Linked DNA regions of Oryzias latipes. The protein of the gene in region 2 interacts with the protein of the main gene of each other region in a biochemical or structural test. Links are inferred from orthologs where the notes say so. Each region holds a gene or a part of one and is shown on either strand. Other genes may lie near its edges.

Region 1 (4,361 bases), on a different chromosome or scaffold from region 2:
AGTATGTGATGTGAAATTTTAAAAAAATTGTATTTTAGTTGAAAGCCTAAGGGAGCTGCATTGTAGAGCAGTGGCCGTACAGCAAGATGGCCCTGGTTCAAATCCTGCCTGGGGTCAATTTAGGTGGGGTTTGTTCTCTTTATAAATGCATGGGTTTTCTCCAGGCACTCTGGCTTCCTCCCACAGTCTAAAAACATGCTTTGTAGGTCAATTGATTACCAGTATTTTAAATTGTCCCTTAGGTGTGCATGCGAGTGTATGGCTCTACAACAGAATGGGGACCTGTTCAGGGTGTACCCCACCTTTGCCCAATTGTTGCTGGATTGGCTCCAGCAGCCCTGTGACCACGAAAAGGATTCAGTTAGTACAGGAGATAAATGGATAAATGGATCAAAGCCTGAGGGATATGGCTCTAAAATAGCATAATGTAGTCCATGTTAACAGGTAACTGATTGGTCGTTGGCCATATTTCTCTCTACAATACAAGGAAATGATTTGCAGATGAACAATCATATATTTTGTGCGCAGAAACAGCTGCTTCTCAGAGAAAAGCTGTCGCCTAAATGAAGCTGTTACTGAAGCATCTTTCAAATGTCATGTTCAGTTCATGTATCAGTAATGAACTTATTTTCCCAGTTTGGCACCTTCTGTTCTGGTGATCTTAATTATGTTTTGATCACTACGCTTTCTTTTTTTTACTTATGGTGAATTTCTCCTTAGATACAATTGTGCTCATCATGGACGGTTCTGCCATCAGCTGCACGTGGTGGCTACAGATGAAGATGGAGAATAGAGCTGCAGACATGCTGAGGAGGAGGAACGAGGCTTATCCTAGTCCGACTAATGGAGTTACACGAGTGAATTTATGTTTTAGTAATATTAGAAAATGTTCACATCTTTATCATATGTTCATGAGGTTTTTACTGAGTAAAAAGCAAATAATTTATTGGACGAGAGTGCTAAAGCATTCTAGTTTTAAATGTGAATCTCAAATTGGCTCACAGCAGTGTACAGATCTGAGAACAAAATTGGATTCTGTCAGCGGACATAAGTTCTGAATTAGGCCTAAGGGAAGGAAATTTAATATTTTTCATATAACAATATCTGATTTTAACTGGTTTTTGAAAGGAAATAACCGACTAATGCAAAATTCCTTCAGTCATATGACTTAGTATTAAAAGGAACTAATTAGTTTCATGGAAAATGTATAACTAAGGAAATTGGGCAACATTTCTAGTTCTTCCTGAATAAAGACACAAAATCATTGAAAATATATAAATTTGGATTGTTGCACAAGATTAGACATTTCAAATCAAAACGTGTTTTGTTTTTGTTTGTTTGTTTAAATTCCCATTTCAAAACTCATTTTCGTTTCGTTTGAAATTCTCTCTTCTCTTGACGTAAACACTAAACGTCGTACTCAGGGTGTTAATTTCCGGTATATTTCGAACCAATTACAACACGCCTCCTAAAGCATACTCACTCGTGATTGGTTGGCATTTTTCTGTTTGCTTTTGAAAGGCGGACACCGATTGGCTGATGCAATTTAAAAACTCGGGGCGGGTTAGGCTTCCATTAACAGATAGTGAGCGATATCAAAGCTGTTCGGATCTACTCAAATTGGATCTACAGTAAGCCTCGCAGGTAAACAGAACTTCTAGATGTATGTGGAATGTTTATTATTTCCGGGTAATAGTTTTCACGAGTGTAGTCGGTGTACACGGGCTGCAGGGATCGGTGTCACGGCGACAGAAACACTAGGAAAGCCACAGAAACGAGCTGTCCGCGCGGCTGAGAGGCCTCCGTGTTCGCAGCTGCGTTAAATGACCACCTCTGCGCCAACAGCCAAAGCAGAAGCGCAATCCGTTTATGCTGAAGCTTCACGTTCTTCCTCAGAGACACTATGGACCTTATGTCAGCATCTGAAGAACCTCCTCTTCAGCCTGAGCTCCTTTTGAAGAAGCTCCTATTGCCTCTTCTAAAAATAGCCATATTCATCCATAATAGTTGTTTTGGTTCGATGATCAGTCTCCATCAGAGCTCTCATGATGATGGTATCACCATCAGACCAGAAGGTTCCTCATCCTGTTTGTGTCATTGTGTGTGAAGTGGACTGACCTGTTGGTACATGTGTCCAGGAGAGCCCATCATTGGCACACATGGCCTCCCAGAACATGGACCCTGCAGCAGCTGGAGCCTCTGCAGCAGCTGCTCTGAAGGGCAACGAGAGCGAGAACAACATGACCAAAGGCTCGGTGTCCAAGCGGTGAGTGTCAACCGTCATCTGAACGTGAAAATAAACCAGACTAACAAGATCAAGAATGAGCCTGGACTTGAAAAGTTGTTTCTGTCTAAATGGAGATCCAGCAGCTGATGCAATCACAGATCAGTCAGCTTTGGTTTTCCCTGAATGATTCAGTCAAATGCTGATTAATTTAGCGGTTACTCTTTTGCATTGGCCTCTCAGTTTGGTGGTTTTAGTGCTGGTCAAGTTGAAGGTCCACAACGCCACATTTCCTGGCCCACATCAGAGCAGTCCGCTTATCGGCTGTACTATTTCTGATTTCTGAGGAGCTCTGCTTCTGTTGTGTGTTTGCAGGTTGCAGCAGGAGCTGATGACTCTCATGGTGAGTTCAACTTTTTATTTATAAATAGACTTTTATCACTGTTGATTTCAATTTTTTTTAAATCCTATTGTCTGAAATAATAAAAGGATATGCAAAGCTGTTAATTTCAGGGATAGATATTTTTTTTTACACAGATTGATGTTTTTCTTAGAATTTATGGCAAAGAAAACCCCTCTATACATTCACACATTTTGGGACTAATTTAGGAGTTTTGATTAATTATTTAAATAACAAAACAAACATATTTTGATGCATTGCACTCTGTGGCCCTCCCTTTCTGTAGCTGGGTAGCTCAATTTGGTTCGGTTCAGAATTTCATAGGGCCCGTTTTGATCTGTTTTCTGTATTTTTTTTCGGTACAAAAAAGGCAGAAAAAAATTTCTTGCAAAATGCATTTATTGGTTTTATATAACAATAATAAAACTAACCTATGTAGGTGATATGCTACATAAAATAATACAACTATTAACTGCCACTTCGTGTAACCATAAAATGCAAACAAAAATAAACAAACCGAAACGGTAAAAAAGTGGTCCAGACTGAAATTACCGAAACGGTTCAGTCCAACTACGTCTACCGTTACACCCTTACTAGTTTGGCAGTGTGTCTTATCCATAATGGAAACAAAAGTGATGATGAAGCCTTCTGAGACTATTTAAAGGGATAAAATAAATTCATAATCTAAAGCATTCACAAAGAACAATACTTGAAGTCCAACCGAGGCACTGAATCAGTTTGAATCCCTTTACGGTAACTAAAGTCCAGGAAAACGGCAGGGTGAGCGCTCATTTTTTGCAGCTTTTAGTGTAACTTTTGCTCCTTTGCTGCAGATGTCGGGGGATAAAGGCATTTCAGCGTTTCCAGAGTCGGATAACCTCTTCAAATGGGTTGGAACCATTGATGGAGCGCAGGGGACGGTACGTATGGGCGCATACGCTCGTGCCACTGGCTGTCTGTATTCCTCAACTACTAAAAAAAACTGCATAGTGTGGCTGTGGCACCATGTAGTGCCCTGGACCCGTAAAAGAAATTTGGTCTCTATACTCACTTTCTTTTTTTTTTAATGGCAAATATGAAATCACACATTTCCCGAAGTAAAAATGTAATAAATATGGACATTTTACAAAGACTATAAGACTATTAACGACAAGTTTATTTAAAACATTACTTCAAATACATGAAAAATTGTTCAAACACAATACATTGTGGTCTATATTCGCTAGTCTAGTGAGCATTGATGCACAGTGGTTTTTCTTAGACTTATGAGAAATTTTTCGAGCACCAGATTTAAGAATTGTAGAATCGCACAGCTCTACAGAATGGGGATGGCGCTATATAGTCCATCGTGTAGTGAATAGTGAAGCAATCCAGACACAACTGTTGGTGAGGAGAGAGGGGTGCTGCACAATTTGATTGTCACCACATTTGAGGTGACGTGAGGAGATGAGAGCTGCACATTATGCATGAATGTGTGATCCGGTTCTCCTGTCAGGTGTACGAGGGCCTCCGGTACCGGCTGTCCTTCGACTTTCCTGCAGGCTACCCCTACCAGGCTCCTCGTGTGAGATTTGTCACGCCTTGTTTCCACCCCAACGTGGACGATCAGGGTTTCATCTGTCTGGACATCCTGAAAGACAAGTGGTCGGCCTTGTACGATGTGCGCTCCATTCTGCTGTCCATACAGAGCCTGCTTGGAGGTAATCCATGGAGCTGTCTGTTCTCTCCAGAGTCCTG
Region 2 (4,119 bases):
GTTTTGCAAATCCTTATTCCACAAGGTGTGTAAGACTGAAATCCAGGGATGGTCAATGGTTATTTATATTACATATAAATGACTCCTTAAAATAATTATAGAAAAAAAATCAAATAAAATAATTATAGAATAACAAAACCTCGAAAATTTAAATAATTCCAAATATTTAAATTTATTATTTTTATTATTGTCACAAATTACATTTGGGGGGGGGGGGGGGGTTCTATTTGTACCATGTCTAATTCATGTCTAAGCCCTCACATTTTGAAGAATGAGCTGTTTTTGCTTTTAAATGATACTCAATGCAAGTCTTCTGGTTTTTATGGTGTTGACATTTGGAACTTGATTCCGTAATAAATGTAATAATAATAAGAATAATAATTCTTATTATATTTATTATTATTAAAATAATAATTGTCAACACGGCCAAAAAGTTCTGGTTCTTTCCTAAATTGCAAATTCTCCTGGTGTTTTGTGGGTTTTTAATGAACTCTGGCTTCCTCAAATAGTCCATAAACAAGCCTCATGGACTAATTGGTGACTCTGAATTTAACTGGCAGACTATAATCTTTGCCTTTGTTCTGAAGAAGCTGGGAAAGACTTCAGAAACACCAGTGATTCTGCACATGTATACATTTTGATTTCTTAATTTCAATTTTTTCAAAATATTTGTTGTTTAAAAGCAAGGAGTGTGCGTATCTGTTTAAACGTTTATTTGCCACCTTGATGTTTCACTGTCAGTCTCGTCAGAATTGAATTGAAGCCATCATAGTTATTTTATGTGACTGTGTCTGGGTTGTGAAGCTGTGTTGTTAGATCTTATGTGTCTTTTCTATCTTATAGTTACTACAAATCGCTTTTCCCTTAAAAGTTAAAGTTATTTAGCGTTTATTAACAAAAGAGAATCAGACACATTTAAACAAATGGCTCAAAGGAACACAGCAAAAAATAATAATAAAAAATAAATAAATAATAGGAAAAACTAAATTACAAAGCATTACCATTTAAAACACAAACTAAAAAGGAGGGGAGCACAAAGGGCATCACCAATTATTCATATTGTATTTTCAAATAGGGTCCACGTTTTTAATGCATTTAAATTCTCATTTAAATTATCTAAATTTTAAATAGATTCGTTTTTCCCCCCATTGTTTATCCTATTTTATTTTATTTTTGCAAGAATTAGAAGAAGTGATCAGTTTCTTACCATTTGTCACCGATAGAGGGCGACATTTAAAATCCAACGCAGTTATAAACCAAATGTGATGACACCGGAAGAAGAAAGTTGCACCGCTGTTTGAAAGAACGGCAGCATATTTTTGCGTTGTTTTACACTGTTTTACATGGCTTAGTTCTAACGAACAGTACCTTTTAAAATATTGTCAAACACTTAAATTACACCCCAACTGTTGTTCCTTCGTTAAGCGAGCAGTGTTAAACAGAGCAGGTCGCTTCAGGCTCCGCCGGGTCGACATAGGCTAGCCTAGCTTGCGTGTCCCGTTTGCCGCTGAGCTCCGTGGGTTTCCCTGATCCGTCTCTCGCTGAGGATGAAGGTGAAGATCAAGCAGTGGAACGGAGTTGCGTCCTGGTTGTGGGTGGCCAACGATGAAAACTGCGGCATCTGCAGGATGCCCTTCAACGGCTGCTGTCCAGACTGTGAGTTAACGCGCCCGCGTGCAGATGTTTAATTCCTGTGAAGAAAGAAGTAGAAATCCCACCATCGGTTTAAAGAAATCTTTGTGATGTTTATGTTTCCTCGTAGCATAAAGGCAATTGAGCCGTAATGGCGTTTAAAACCGTATTTGATAGAAAACCTTGTAATTTCACATTTACTCTGTCTGTATTACCTAACAAACTACTTACGACTTAACAATTTTTTTTATATAACTTTATTGAACAAATGCAAGTATACAACATAAAGAACAATCAATGCAGTATACAACATACAATCAATATACAACACAAACAATGTTAAACAGCCAGGGGAGTCGATTCATTAAATATTTGCAGAGAGTTACAAATTTCAATAGTTCTGAGAGCTTTTTTGTTGGAGGAAAAGGATATTGATTTTATGTAAAAAGTTACATCTTTAATGAATTGTGGGAAGTATGGTGTTTTATTAGTAAATTTACATTTATGTATGTAGAATTTTGCCAGAAGAATTAATAAATTAATTATAAAAAATATCTTTTGTTTTTTGGGGGTCCTGAAAAAACAAAGTAATACATTTTCCCATTTCAAGGAGAAATCTTTGAAGACATGAATAATGATGAATCTACTGAACTCCTTCCAAAATCTCCGTGTGGACAAACAGTGCCAGAAAAGATGAATTACTGTTTCTGGGTGATCTCCACAGAAACTACAATCAGTATTAATATCTTTTTTAAATTTTATCATATAATGTTTGGCAGGGTAAATTTTATGGAGAATTTTAAAGGATACTTCTTTTACCTTATTTATTATTAAATACTTATGAGGGATCGTCCAGACTGCTTTCCAGTTGATATCTGGAACAAATTGATTCCAATAATTTAAAATATACGGGGGAGCGGTATAAATCTTTTGAAATAATCTGCGTATTTTTATATTAGTAGTACGCCCATATGAGAAGCATATTTTTCCTACCGGTGACTCATCCGCATTGGATATTGTATTTTGATTAGGTATCAAATTATCAGTGTTCTTAAATAACATTACTATTCCTGAGGGGATAGCCTTCTGCACCATTGAAAACTCTTGTAAAGTAATAGGTAAATTATACTGTGATAGGAATTCGTTATAGTTTAACAGCTGCCCCTCCTTATTAAATATTACGACTTAACTAATATTTGAGAATCAGAGATGTGACTACGCATGCGCGAACATTCTACTTAGTCTTGTGTTTGCCATTGTCACAAGTACAATGCAATGTAGCCGTTATGATACATAATTAAAGGGAAAATAACAGGACCACCTGCAGAAATGCTGTTTTCCTCTAGGTGGGTCGGTTAATAAATGAAGTTGATTAGTTAATTAAATTGCCTCTTCGCTACAGATGGGATGTATTTCATCCCAATCAAAGATGGATGGATGGATGTAATTAAAGTCCTGATTTTAACTAGATGACTGTGATTTGCTATTTTTGTGAATTATTGTCTCATCAATAAGAACTGGATTATGGCAACAATGCAAAAGAAATATATAAAAAGAAACAATTCATTAGGGGGGGGGATTGTATAAAATAAATGAGCTCACCTTTAGGCAGCAAATCAAATTGTGCATGACTTTAAATTATCATTATACTAAATGAATCAAATGTGATTTGTGTGTATTGTATGCATTACTGCGAAAAAGTCTCTTTGATTATGAATAATTAGACTAAAGCAGCCAGCATTGTCTTGTCATCACTGTTCATTTTATTCTTTATTTTCTAATCAATGTATTACTATATCTGAAATGGGTTTGATATATACATGTGTGTTGGTAGTTGTTTTTATTGTATTCAATCATTTAATCAATCAAATGTTCTCGTTTCATCCTGTTTAGGGACAGCAGATGTGAAATAGCATCATGGCTAAAATTGGACATAATTACATCTTTTAGTCTCTGGACATATGTTCAGTAATGTGTCCATATAAAATAAATACAATAAGATAAAATATATTTATCTTATTGTATTTATCTGCAGTAAATATCTGCAGACTTAAGAAAATCAGCTGTAAACATTCATTTATCAAAAGAGATTCCCATAAACAGATTCATGACACGTTTATTGTTGAGGATGAAGTCAGTCGGTCATGATGTGGAGATCAACACCATCACTTACAGGAGTTCGGATTCTTATTTATAAATTGGTGATGTAACATGCCCCATATAACTTTGACTTCGTGTCCATCAGCACACCCCAGCTCGAGTTAAGCCATGCTTCTCCTCATCTGCAGGTAAGGTTCCCGGAGACGACTGCCCGCTGGTGTGGGGTCAGTGCTCCCACTGCTTCCACATGCACTGCATCCTGAAGTGGCTGAACTCCCAGCAGGTGCAGCAGCAGTGTCCCATGTGTCGCCAGGAGTGGAAGTTCAAAGAGTGACGTGTCACGGTTCAGAACAACAACAAATAACTGTTCCCGACACAAAACCTGGG
Region 3 (4,100 bases), on a different chromosome or scaffold from region 2:
TTATTTTTTAGTCTGATATTGTGTCAGATGTTGCTATTCTGAACCTTTTACAAATCTTTTAATGTATGTTATGTGTTGAATTTAGAACTGAAGTTGTTCTTTGTCAAAATTGTTGAATGTTAGTGTATCATGTTCTGATTTTTTTTAAAGTTATGTCTGTTGTCTCATTTACAGTGATTTCTGTTGAGCTTTGTAGAATGGTAATAAAAAGACCTTCTTATCCTCTCCTACCTTCCTTTTGAGATTAAAAAAAAACCCTGTTTTATCTACATTGTCTCTATCAATGTTGTGTCCAAATTGGTTACCATTCCCAGTTATATGTTTGATTTTTGCACAAGAGGTCCTGAGGACACTATTGGGTTATCTGTTTGTGTGCTATTTTGCATTTGGCGCTGTTTCTTCCTTCATAAATGCACAGGAAACTTTGAGATGTACAAAGACCTGCATAACATTTTTTAAAGATTTCTCACAGAACATAAGCCAGTTTTGAGTACAATGTTTCAAAATCAAATTGTGCAAAAACAAGCATTAGATCACAGCAATGCTAAAATAGCGTTCTATTGTCTGATAGTTGCGGGGTTTGTTTTTATGTTCATAGATATTTAGGACACACCACTAAATTATTGGTATTTGTATGATGGACAGTCATTTAATATTATTATTGGCCTACAATTTTTTTTGTTAGTCCAAAATCCTGCTCCAAAACCAGGAAAGCTGTCCTCAGGTTGAGGCACCATGTTTATTGAATGCCCTTATCCTGTCAGTGTCCCTGATTGACTCTGTTGTGTCCTTTTATAAAAAAGCTAACATGCATTTGTTTAGGAAAGGTTAAAAGTAATGAATGTGAGTGTATGTGGTTGTGTGGCTCAGACAGTCCAGGGTGTACCACACCTGGGGGTAGTTAGAATAGACTCCAACAACCGCCACAGGGAGTGTTTAGAAAATGCATAAAAAGGTGCTTCAGAAATACAGCTCACTTATTTGCTTAAACAATTATATTAAAATATAATTAGGAATATTTGTTTTAAATGTATTTTTCACGTTATAAAAATGCTCACTGCTATTGATTGAATTATATTAGCTAATCTAATATACCCGATATTCTTGATTGTGGTTTATTTCCTGTCAGTATCGATCGGTAGTTTGAGTTTTTCAAACGGGCCTATGGCTCACCAGCATCAGCTCTCTTTACACTCTGATTGGCTTATATATTTTTTCTATCATGACGTAATAGAAAATCTAGATTGTGATTGGTTAGGAACTTCATACGCGTCAACTTGCTAAGACGGCTATTGGTTAATATCAGCAGGTTAAATCGAGGATCGTATTTTTGTTCCTGTGTCAACGTTAAAGCGAAAAGGACAGTAATCAGGGTTTTTTTTGTGATTAAGTTTCTACAAAATACTTTTTCTCAAATAGTAGCAGAAAAAGCTTCGTTTTATCCCATTCCAGTAAACAACCATTCACCAAAAAGATCTCATTTTCGAAGATGGTAAGACAGATGACCGAGCGTATTGCTAACAGCTAAGGGGAGTTTTTGCTAGCTTGCTCCGGTGTTAGATCGTCAAAAACACCCTGGTTGTGGTTGATTTTCTTTCTTTTTTAAAAGTTGTTTTTTATTCGCGGAACCAAAACATGATTTTAAAAATAGTACGGAGTACTTTTAGCGTAATGATCGCGTTTTTACAGCCTTTAATCAACGCTAAGTTCGAGGCATTACCTCTTGCTAACCGTTAACGTAAAGTTATCTCCTTATTTCTGTATAATAATTAGTAAGAGTTGCAATTTTATATTTTATCAGTCATGATACGATCGTACCTTGATTTAATGTGCCTTTATATTACCTACAGTAAAACTTTTTTTCTTCTTTTCTTTAAGCTTGGCGACAAAAACTTTGAAACTCAATGTTGTATTTTTGTTCTAGCAGCATAGCATTCGTTTGAATATCCTCCTGACCCCCAGCAATGCAAATTTCTAACTGAAAATCTAGCATAAATGGCACAGTAGCATCCAGCTGTATTAAATCAACATAAATAAATGATAACTTTTATATAATGCAGGATTTTTTTTATCAATTGAACGTGCAGTTTAAATAGAAGTGCATTTTTATTGCTGCTTCTTAGGTGTTGCAGATGTGACATCCTTAAGTACATTCTCATGTGGTCAGCAATTTATATTTTCCGACAATGGCTTGCTTGGATTTATCTTTTCTAAATTATCTCATTTTATTATCTTTATATTTTATTGAAGAATCAGACTAAACGAGATTGATGAAAATTCTTTGTATCTTGTTTAATTTTAAGTTATATTTTTAGTGATTTCTTTGTATTTTTCTCTCGTTATCAAATCGGTTTCATTTCCAAAGCTTTTTACACATTTAAATGCCCATTTATGTGCCCTGTTCTGTTTTCCCATAGAACTCAAATGTTGAGAATTTGCCCCCTCATGTTCTGCGCTTGGTCTACAAAGAGGTATCAGCTTTAGCAGCAGATCCACCTGAAGGTATAAAGATTTATCCTAGTGAGGAAGACATAACTGAACTCCACACATCCATTGAAGGACCAGGTAAGGATTTTAGTGAGGCTCCATGGAAAGCTTAAACTAGATTTGCCATTTTTAGGCAGTATTTCCTAAAATAGGAAAGGACTACAGCATTTTACGTTATTAAAAATGTCATGTCTTGTACTGCACATTCTGCATTTAATTATAGATTTCATTTTGAAATGAGCCTTTTGCCATCTTTTTCTTGGACTTGTGGATAGATATAGCTCATTTCTGAAGGAAGAACTGATTTAAATTGGACGGATTGCATTGTTGATGCATCTATTTTTATCAGGGGCTTTTAAGCTTATGTTGAATGGAAATTCTTAAAAAGTGATAACGATGCAAGTCGTAGGAGTTTCAAAAATTCAACATTCCAAATAAAGATTGTAATCGTTTAAACAAAGAGCTATAACTCACAGCTTTTTTGAACAATTTTTAAAAATTGTTGCTATTGTTAAAGGTTTATCCCCATAATATTGGCATGCAGTTCAGTTCATGCATTAGAAGAAATATATAATTCAAAATCCGTTTTTAAATGCCAAACAGTTTAGCGCATGATTGCCATCTTGAGGCTGAGGCTACACATTACTTCGTGAAGGTAACCACAAATAATAACTATAAAATCCAAAGTTGTATGAACCCTTTGGGTTATTCTTGTTATTTTTTTATTTAAAAGAGCTGTGTGCTATTGTAAGAGTTCAGCTATCCAAAGTAAACCGTGAAGACAGTGAGGCAAGGATGTTTGTGAATTGTTTGTATTTTGTGAGAGAGGAAGTGCGTCTTAATATGCTGGGCATATTTTAAGCATAATCCAGCTTCAAAACGTAACCATTTAGCTTTTTTATTTTGTTCTCCTTTAGAGCTGAGCAGACGTGGATGAAGAACGGTTCCAGTTCTTTGGCATGTTTAGCCGTGCTCAATTGCAAAAATAGTGCAGATTTATCAAGGACTGATGTGCAAAAGCCTGTCATTTTAAAGAATTTTGATGTTTAGCACGTCTATGATTTCAAAGTTAGAGATTTGATTCAGCTTGAAAAAAATTCAGTCTGTGTATCCGCAGTTAAGACATACTGTTCATGCTATGAATTCTTTATACTTTGACAGAGGGAACTCCATTTGCTGGTGGCATTTTCCGAATGCGTCTGGTCCTCGGGAAGGACTTCCCTGCTGTTCCACCCAAGGGGTATTTCTTGACCAAGATTTTTCATCCCAACGTCGGCCACAAAGGAGAAATCTGTGTGAATGTGCTGAAGAGGGACTGGAAGGCAGAGCTCGGGCTCAGACACATCTTACTTGTAAGAGTTCCACCATCGGCTATCTTTCCCCTGAGTGTGATGTATGTGGTCCGTCAACGATTTTCTCTTTGTGACGGCAGACCATCAAGTGTCTTCTAATCCATCCAAACCCGGAGTCGGCTCTGAACGAGGAGGCCGGGCGCTTGTTGTTGGAGGACTATGCAGAGTACGAGTCCCGAGCCCGCCTCCTCACAGAAATCCACGCTATGGGCGGTACGTCGGGGGCACCTCAGGATCCGAATGACGGCCCTCAGCCAAAAA
Region 4 (4,205 bases), on a different chromosome or scaffold from region 2:
GCGGCAGATTGTTTTAAAGGGGCTGAATTGGGGTCAAATAGCTGAAGGTGTGAAGGAAATGAGAGACTAAACACTTTATAAATCGCAGGCATCTTCTCTCAACATAATCTGCTTCATTCATTGGAGCCACAAAGGGATATAAAACTGGACAACCTTGCTATTCTAAGCACTCCCTCTGGACTAAGTGGTTTCCTTTCTCCCTTAAAAAAAAGAGCAGCACACTTTGTCCTAGCATAGCTTTAAAACCGCTTGTTTATATGCATTACTACTAAGTAATAGTAACCAAGAAATATTGTTTACTTTTAGACAACGCCCGTTGAAAGTTAACGGGATTTACATGACAGAACAGAACGGAAATGAACACTGAAGCTGAGCTGAAATGGGGGCGTTCAGAATGAATGGCCTACGGGGGGATTTGTATTGATTAAACCTTTTAAATATACGACATTTTTGTTACGACGGCAATGAAAAACTAATAATTCTACCAGGCGCAGTTTCGTTAATGAGATAATTAAGCTAGCTGTAACCAGCATGGAGATAAAGGCGTTGTTCTCGATTAAGAATACAATACAAAAGCTAAGACCAGGTACTCCTATCTACAATTTTACAAAGGCACAGCTCTAAATGAATATCCAAAGCATATTTGGGGTGTTTTGGTCAATACAGTGACATTACACTGGTTTAGCTATGATGCCGCGAATTTCTGAAAGGCACAAAAAATGCGGGGAGTTCCTTATTAACACCTAATTCCATCTAACATATCCTTGACGCACATTAAACGTAAAACTAATTCATATTTAGGCTGATGGATGCGTTTAAAAGTAAAACAGAAGACTTACAGCTTGCCTTGCTATCTCGGTCGAAGCCATGATGCTTTCTGTTAGCTCTCCCTCAACTGTCCTCTTTCAGCAGCCCTGCTGAACAGTTAACGTTCCTCAGAAAGATGGCCTGTTTGGAATGTACCATTGAATCTACGGAGTTAATCATGTAGAGAACACGTAGCTTTGCTTTTGCGTCTTGATTACAACAATAGGTACTAGGGAAAAAAAGACATATAACTGCAGTTTATCTTTAAGACGGATTTATTTATAGAAAAATAAACACATAAGATAAAGAAAGATGGTGCAGACATGGTTTCGTCCGATAGAACGCTAGTAAATGGAAGTCAGCAAGCAATAAAAAAATAAAATAAAAGGGGAATAATTAGCATGAATAATTATCCAGTTTATGAATATGGGCAATTTTTGTTAGTTTGGTATTGACTAAATGATTATTTTTTTTCGATAATATGCCCAATTCTGTTCATACAACGCTTTGAAATGAGACACGGGTGAAATTAATTCATGCCAGTCACGTGGGGTACAACGACCAATCATAATCACTGCCCAACGACAGTCACGAGGGCTACAACGACCAATGGAATGAAGTGAACGGATTTAAAAACAAAGGTGCGGAAGCTGTTGTAGCTAGATAAAAAACAAAAAGCAGGATAAAGACGATAAAGCCTTCGGATTGAGACCAAGAACTATTGTTCTTTGAGGTTACTAACACTAAGGTAAATAGACGTGAAAGTAACCGTTGGTTTATCATTCCAAGATTTTACGTAAATGGGCAATTTTTTTTAAACCGTACGTTGCACGACAAACTGCTAACGATAATTTTTAAACCGTACGTAACGTTGCATGACAAACAAAGTTAACCGCTAACAATAATGTAGCATTGGACAAATCTCTGCTGTTTACATTATTGTCAGTAAATGTAAATAAATATTTGTTGTCTGAACTAAATTATTCTGAACTTAATCATTTTCCAAATGGGAAATGTATCCATTATTTTGTAAATAATTGCATAGTTGTTAGATGAAAACAAAATGTCTACTTTAGCTTAGTTTAGTTTTGGGCCTGACAATACATAATCTTCTTCTTAATGCTAAACATCAGCACCAATTAGCAGAAAGCCTTTTTGATGTAAAAAAAAAATAAATAAATCCGTAATTGAACCTCAAAATGCCTGAATTGTGGGGAAACAAAATGAGAATAGCCAACTCTGTTAGTCTACTTATGAATTTCAAAGTGCACCTTTTTTTTCCCCCTTTTCTTTCAATAAATTAAGTTATATTTTTATGAATTTGTGTATATAAAACCCCATTTAAAGTAATTGAAAGTTTTTTGAAACCAAATGTTTTTCTTTTTTTACCTTTTAGCCAAGATGGCAAATGTCATCTTCACCGAACAGGAGAATGTTTGCCTCCGTCCCTCTTCCCTGAAAATGCGTCAGAGGCTTCTGTCTGCTCCAGGTATTAAAAACATGTTCAACTGTTTCAGATTATCTTTGTGGAACTCTGCATGATCCTCCTTTTTATTCTCGCTCTCTATAACCAGAAAAACAGTTGAAGTCTCCAATGTTGGTCAAAAATACCCCTGTCCATTCAGCGCGTAAGGCTTTTGGGGTGGTGAACAAAAAGATCTTAACCCCTTCTTTGAGTACACAAGAGAAAAAAGTTTTAAAACCACAGGTAAAAATAAACACTAATGACAAATGGATTTATTTCAGCAAAAGGCTATTCTGTTGTTTCTGTGTGTCCATATTGCCCTTCTTCTCAATAGGAAGTCAAGGTCGAGCATCCTTCTGAAGCCAAAGGGGAGGAATACCCAAAAATGGAAAATTTTATTCCTTACAACCCTCTAGGTAATGTCATGTTTGTTTGGTTTGCAGGCAAATTATGCTTTTAAGAGGTTTTTTTTTTTTTTTTTTAAACCAAGATGTTTAGTAGTTCCACATTTCCGCTGGTCGTGCTGCAGCTGTATGCCATCTGAAAGTCTTTACTGCTAATGTCACATCATTTCATAGCCACCATGTTTACAATATCCACTCTTATCACTGAGCATAATCAACGGGCACAGCGTCTTTCTGCTCATGAGTGGTGGTTGTTCAAGTAAAAGCAACAAAATGTAATGATGTGAAAGAATTGGAAGTGGCTCAGTGGCCTTGTGGTAGTGTCCACTGTGTTAAACGGCTCCCATGTGTGGCTGTGTCTTTTCTGACTTCTTTGGTTTTAAAGGGGCTTATTCACAGTCTGGGAAATTTTTCACCCATTCCTGAGTTTCTTCATATTTTCAGAGTTTGAGAAGTACAGCATACCCGAGGACTTCATTCCTTTCAGTGGCCTGGCTCTACCCGGATTGGCCTGTTTTACCTCGCCTCTTCTTGAGGAAGACCTGGAAAAGATTCAGCCTCTCCCAGACCCTTCACCTGCAAAAGGGTGCAGATTTCCAGGTATGGTTCTCCTTTATACGTCTGATAAATCTCCTATTTTCAGGAGCTTACAGAGGAAATCACTCTGTTGCAACAAAGGGAAATGCAACAGAACGCCACATGGTGCTTTAAATAAGTAATAAATACTAGGAAAAAGTAATCGTGTCATGTTTTTCAAAATTAGACAGAAAATATTTTAACTTTGAGGTTTGCTTTACTGTTAAAACAAAAAACTTCAAACCATTTGTACACAGATCTAGTAACTTTGGAGTCAACATGTTCGTTTTTTTTCTCTTTTCTTTTGGGGATACAAAATAAACTAGTTTGAATTTTCATTTACTCAGCTCTGTTGCAAAGAACCTGTTTGGCTCCTCAGTGCCCTTGGGGAAACACAGACTGGATTCTTGTCGAATGATCCCAAACTGTAACGTAATAGGAAAGCTTTCCCCCTAAACTACAATGCTGTTCCCTGTTACCTGTTAATCCTTTTAGTGTTGAACAGTTCAAACTATGATCAGACCTGTAGGTTACTCATTAACTGAATCATGTGACTTCCAACAAATGCCACTTGTTATGGCTGTTATTGTTGGAAAGTGTGCCTGTTGGCAGGAAAGCCTTCATAAACTCCTCTTCATTTTCCTTTTTAGATCACAGCTTGGAGCTGGATGCCTTCCTACAAACCCTTGAAGAGCTGACTGTTGAATTCCCCCCAGAACCGCTTACTGACTGCTGATGCCTGTTTGTTAAATGGCTGTTTTTATTATTTGTGTTGAAATAAAGTTTTCTTGGCAACATCTGTGGTCCAGAGTGTGTGTGTGTGTGTGATGGAATGGCTGCAAAAGTGTCAGGGGAGTGAACCTGAACTACTTCCTGCTTTAAACTCCAGCTGTGGTCACGTGTTGGGAGTCTTCTGAAGAGGATCTGCTTCATTAGAATGAACTTTTTCAGTT

What was found.
Region 1: the proteins of anapc11 (region 2) and ube2c form a complex in vitro, tested with the Homo sapiens proteins (66 studies listed by BioGRID). The link is inferred for Oryzias latipes from reciprocal best matches to the Homo sapiens genes ANAPC11 and UBE2C.
Region 3: the proteins of anapc11 (region 2) and ube2s form a complex in vitro, tested with the Homo sapiens proteins (31 studies listed by BioGRID). The link is inferred for Oryzias latipes from reciprocal best matches to the Homo sapiens genes ANAPC11 and UBE2S.
Region 4: of the proteins of anapc11 (region 2) and pttg1, one has a biochemical effect on the other in vitro, tested with the Homo sapiens proteins (3 studies listed by BioGRID). The link is inferred for Oryzias latipes from reciprocal best matches to the Homo sapiens genes ANAPC11 and PTTG1.

What each region holds. Positions count from the first base shown.
Region 1 is NC_019863.2:18,098,162-18,102,522, forward strand, and holds the start of ube2c (ubiquitin-conjugating enzyme E2 C), read left to right. Parts: upstream 1-1,537; 5' UTR 1,538-1,644; intron 1,645-2,138; 5' UTR 2,139-2,159; coding exon 2,160-2,266; intron 2,267-2,599; coding exon 2,600-2,627; intron 2,628-3,457; coding exon 3,458-3,544; intron 3,545-4,119; coding exon 4,120-4,324; intron 4,325-4,361. UniProt on the Homo sapiens protein: Accepts ubiquitin from the E1 complex and catalyzes its covalent attachment to other proteins. In vitro catalyzes 'Lys-11'- and 'Lys-48'-linked polyubiquitination.
Region 2 is NC_019859.2:4,486,126-4,490,244, forward strand, and holds the start of anapc11 (anaphase-promoting complex subunit 11), read left to right. Parts: upstream 1-1,282; 5' UTR 1,283-1,547; coding exon 1,548-1,656; intron 1,657-3,920; coding exon 3,921-4,066; 3' UTR 4,067-4,119. UniProt on the Homo sapiens protein: Together with the cullin protein ANAPC2, constitutes the catalytic component of the anaphase promoting complex/cyclosome (APC/C), a cell cycle-regulated E3 ubiquitin ligase that controls progression through mitosis and the G1 phase of the cell cycle.
Region 3 is NC_019874.2:19,503,696-19,507,795, forward strand, and holds the start of ube2s (ubiquitin-conjugating enzyme E2 S), read left to right. Parts: upstream 1-1,290; 5' UTR 1,291-1,489; coding exon 1,490-1,492; intron 1,493-2,417; coding exon 2,418-2,565; intron 2,566-3,648; coding exon 3,649-3,839; intron 3,840-3,919; coding exon 3,920-4,100. UniProt on the Homo sapiens protein: Accepts ubiquitin from the E1 complex and catalyzes its covalent attachment to other proteins. Catalyzes 'Lys-11'-linked polyubiquitination.
Region 4 is NC_019868.2:9,721,790-9,725,994, forward strand, and holds pttg1 (securin), read left to right. Parts: upstream 1-1,385; 5' UTR 1,386-1,448; exon of another isoform or gene 1,449-1,555; intron 1,556-2,203; 5' UTR 2,204-2,208; coding exon 2,209-2,296; intron 2,297-2,381; coding exon 2,382-2,515; intron 2,516-2,606; coding exon 2,607-2,688; intron 2,689-3,120; coding exon 3,121-3,276; intron 3,277-3,902; coding exon 3,903-3,988; 3' UTR 3,989-4,049; downstream 4,050-4,205. Other genes in the region: sept6 (septin-6), read right to left, coding at 840-869. UniProt on the Homo sapiens protein: Regulatory protein, which plays a central role in chromosome stability, in the p53/TP53 pathway, and DNA repair. Probably acts by blocking the action of key proteins.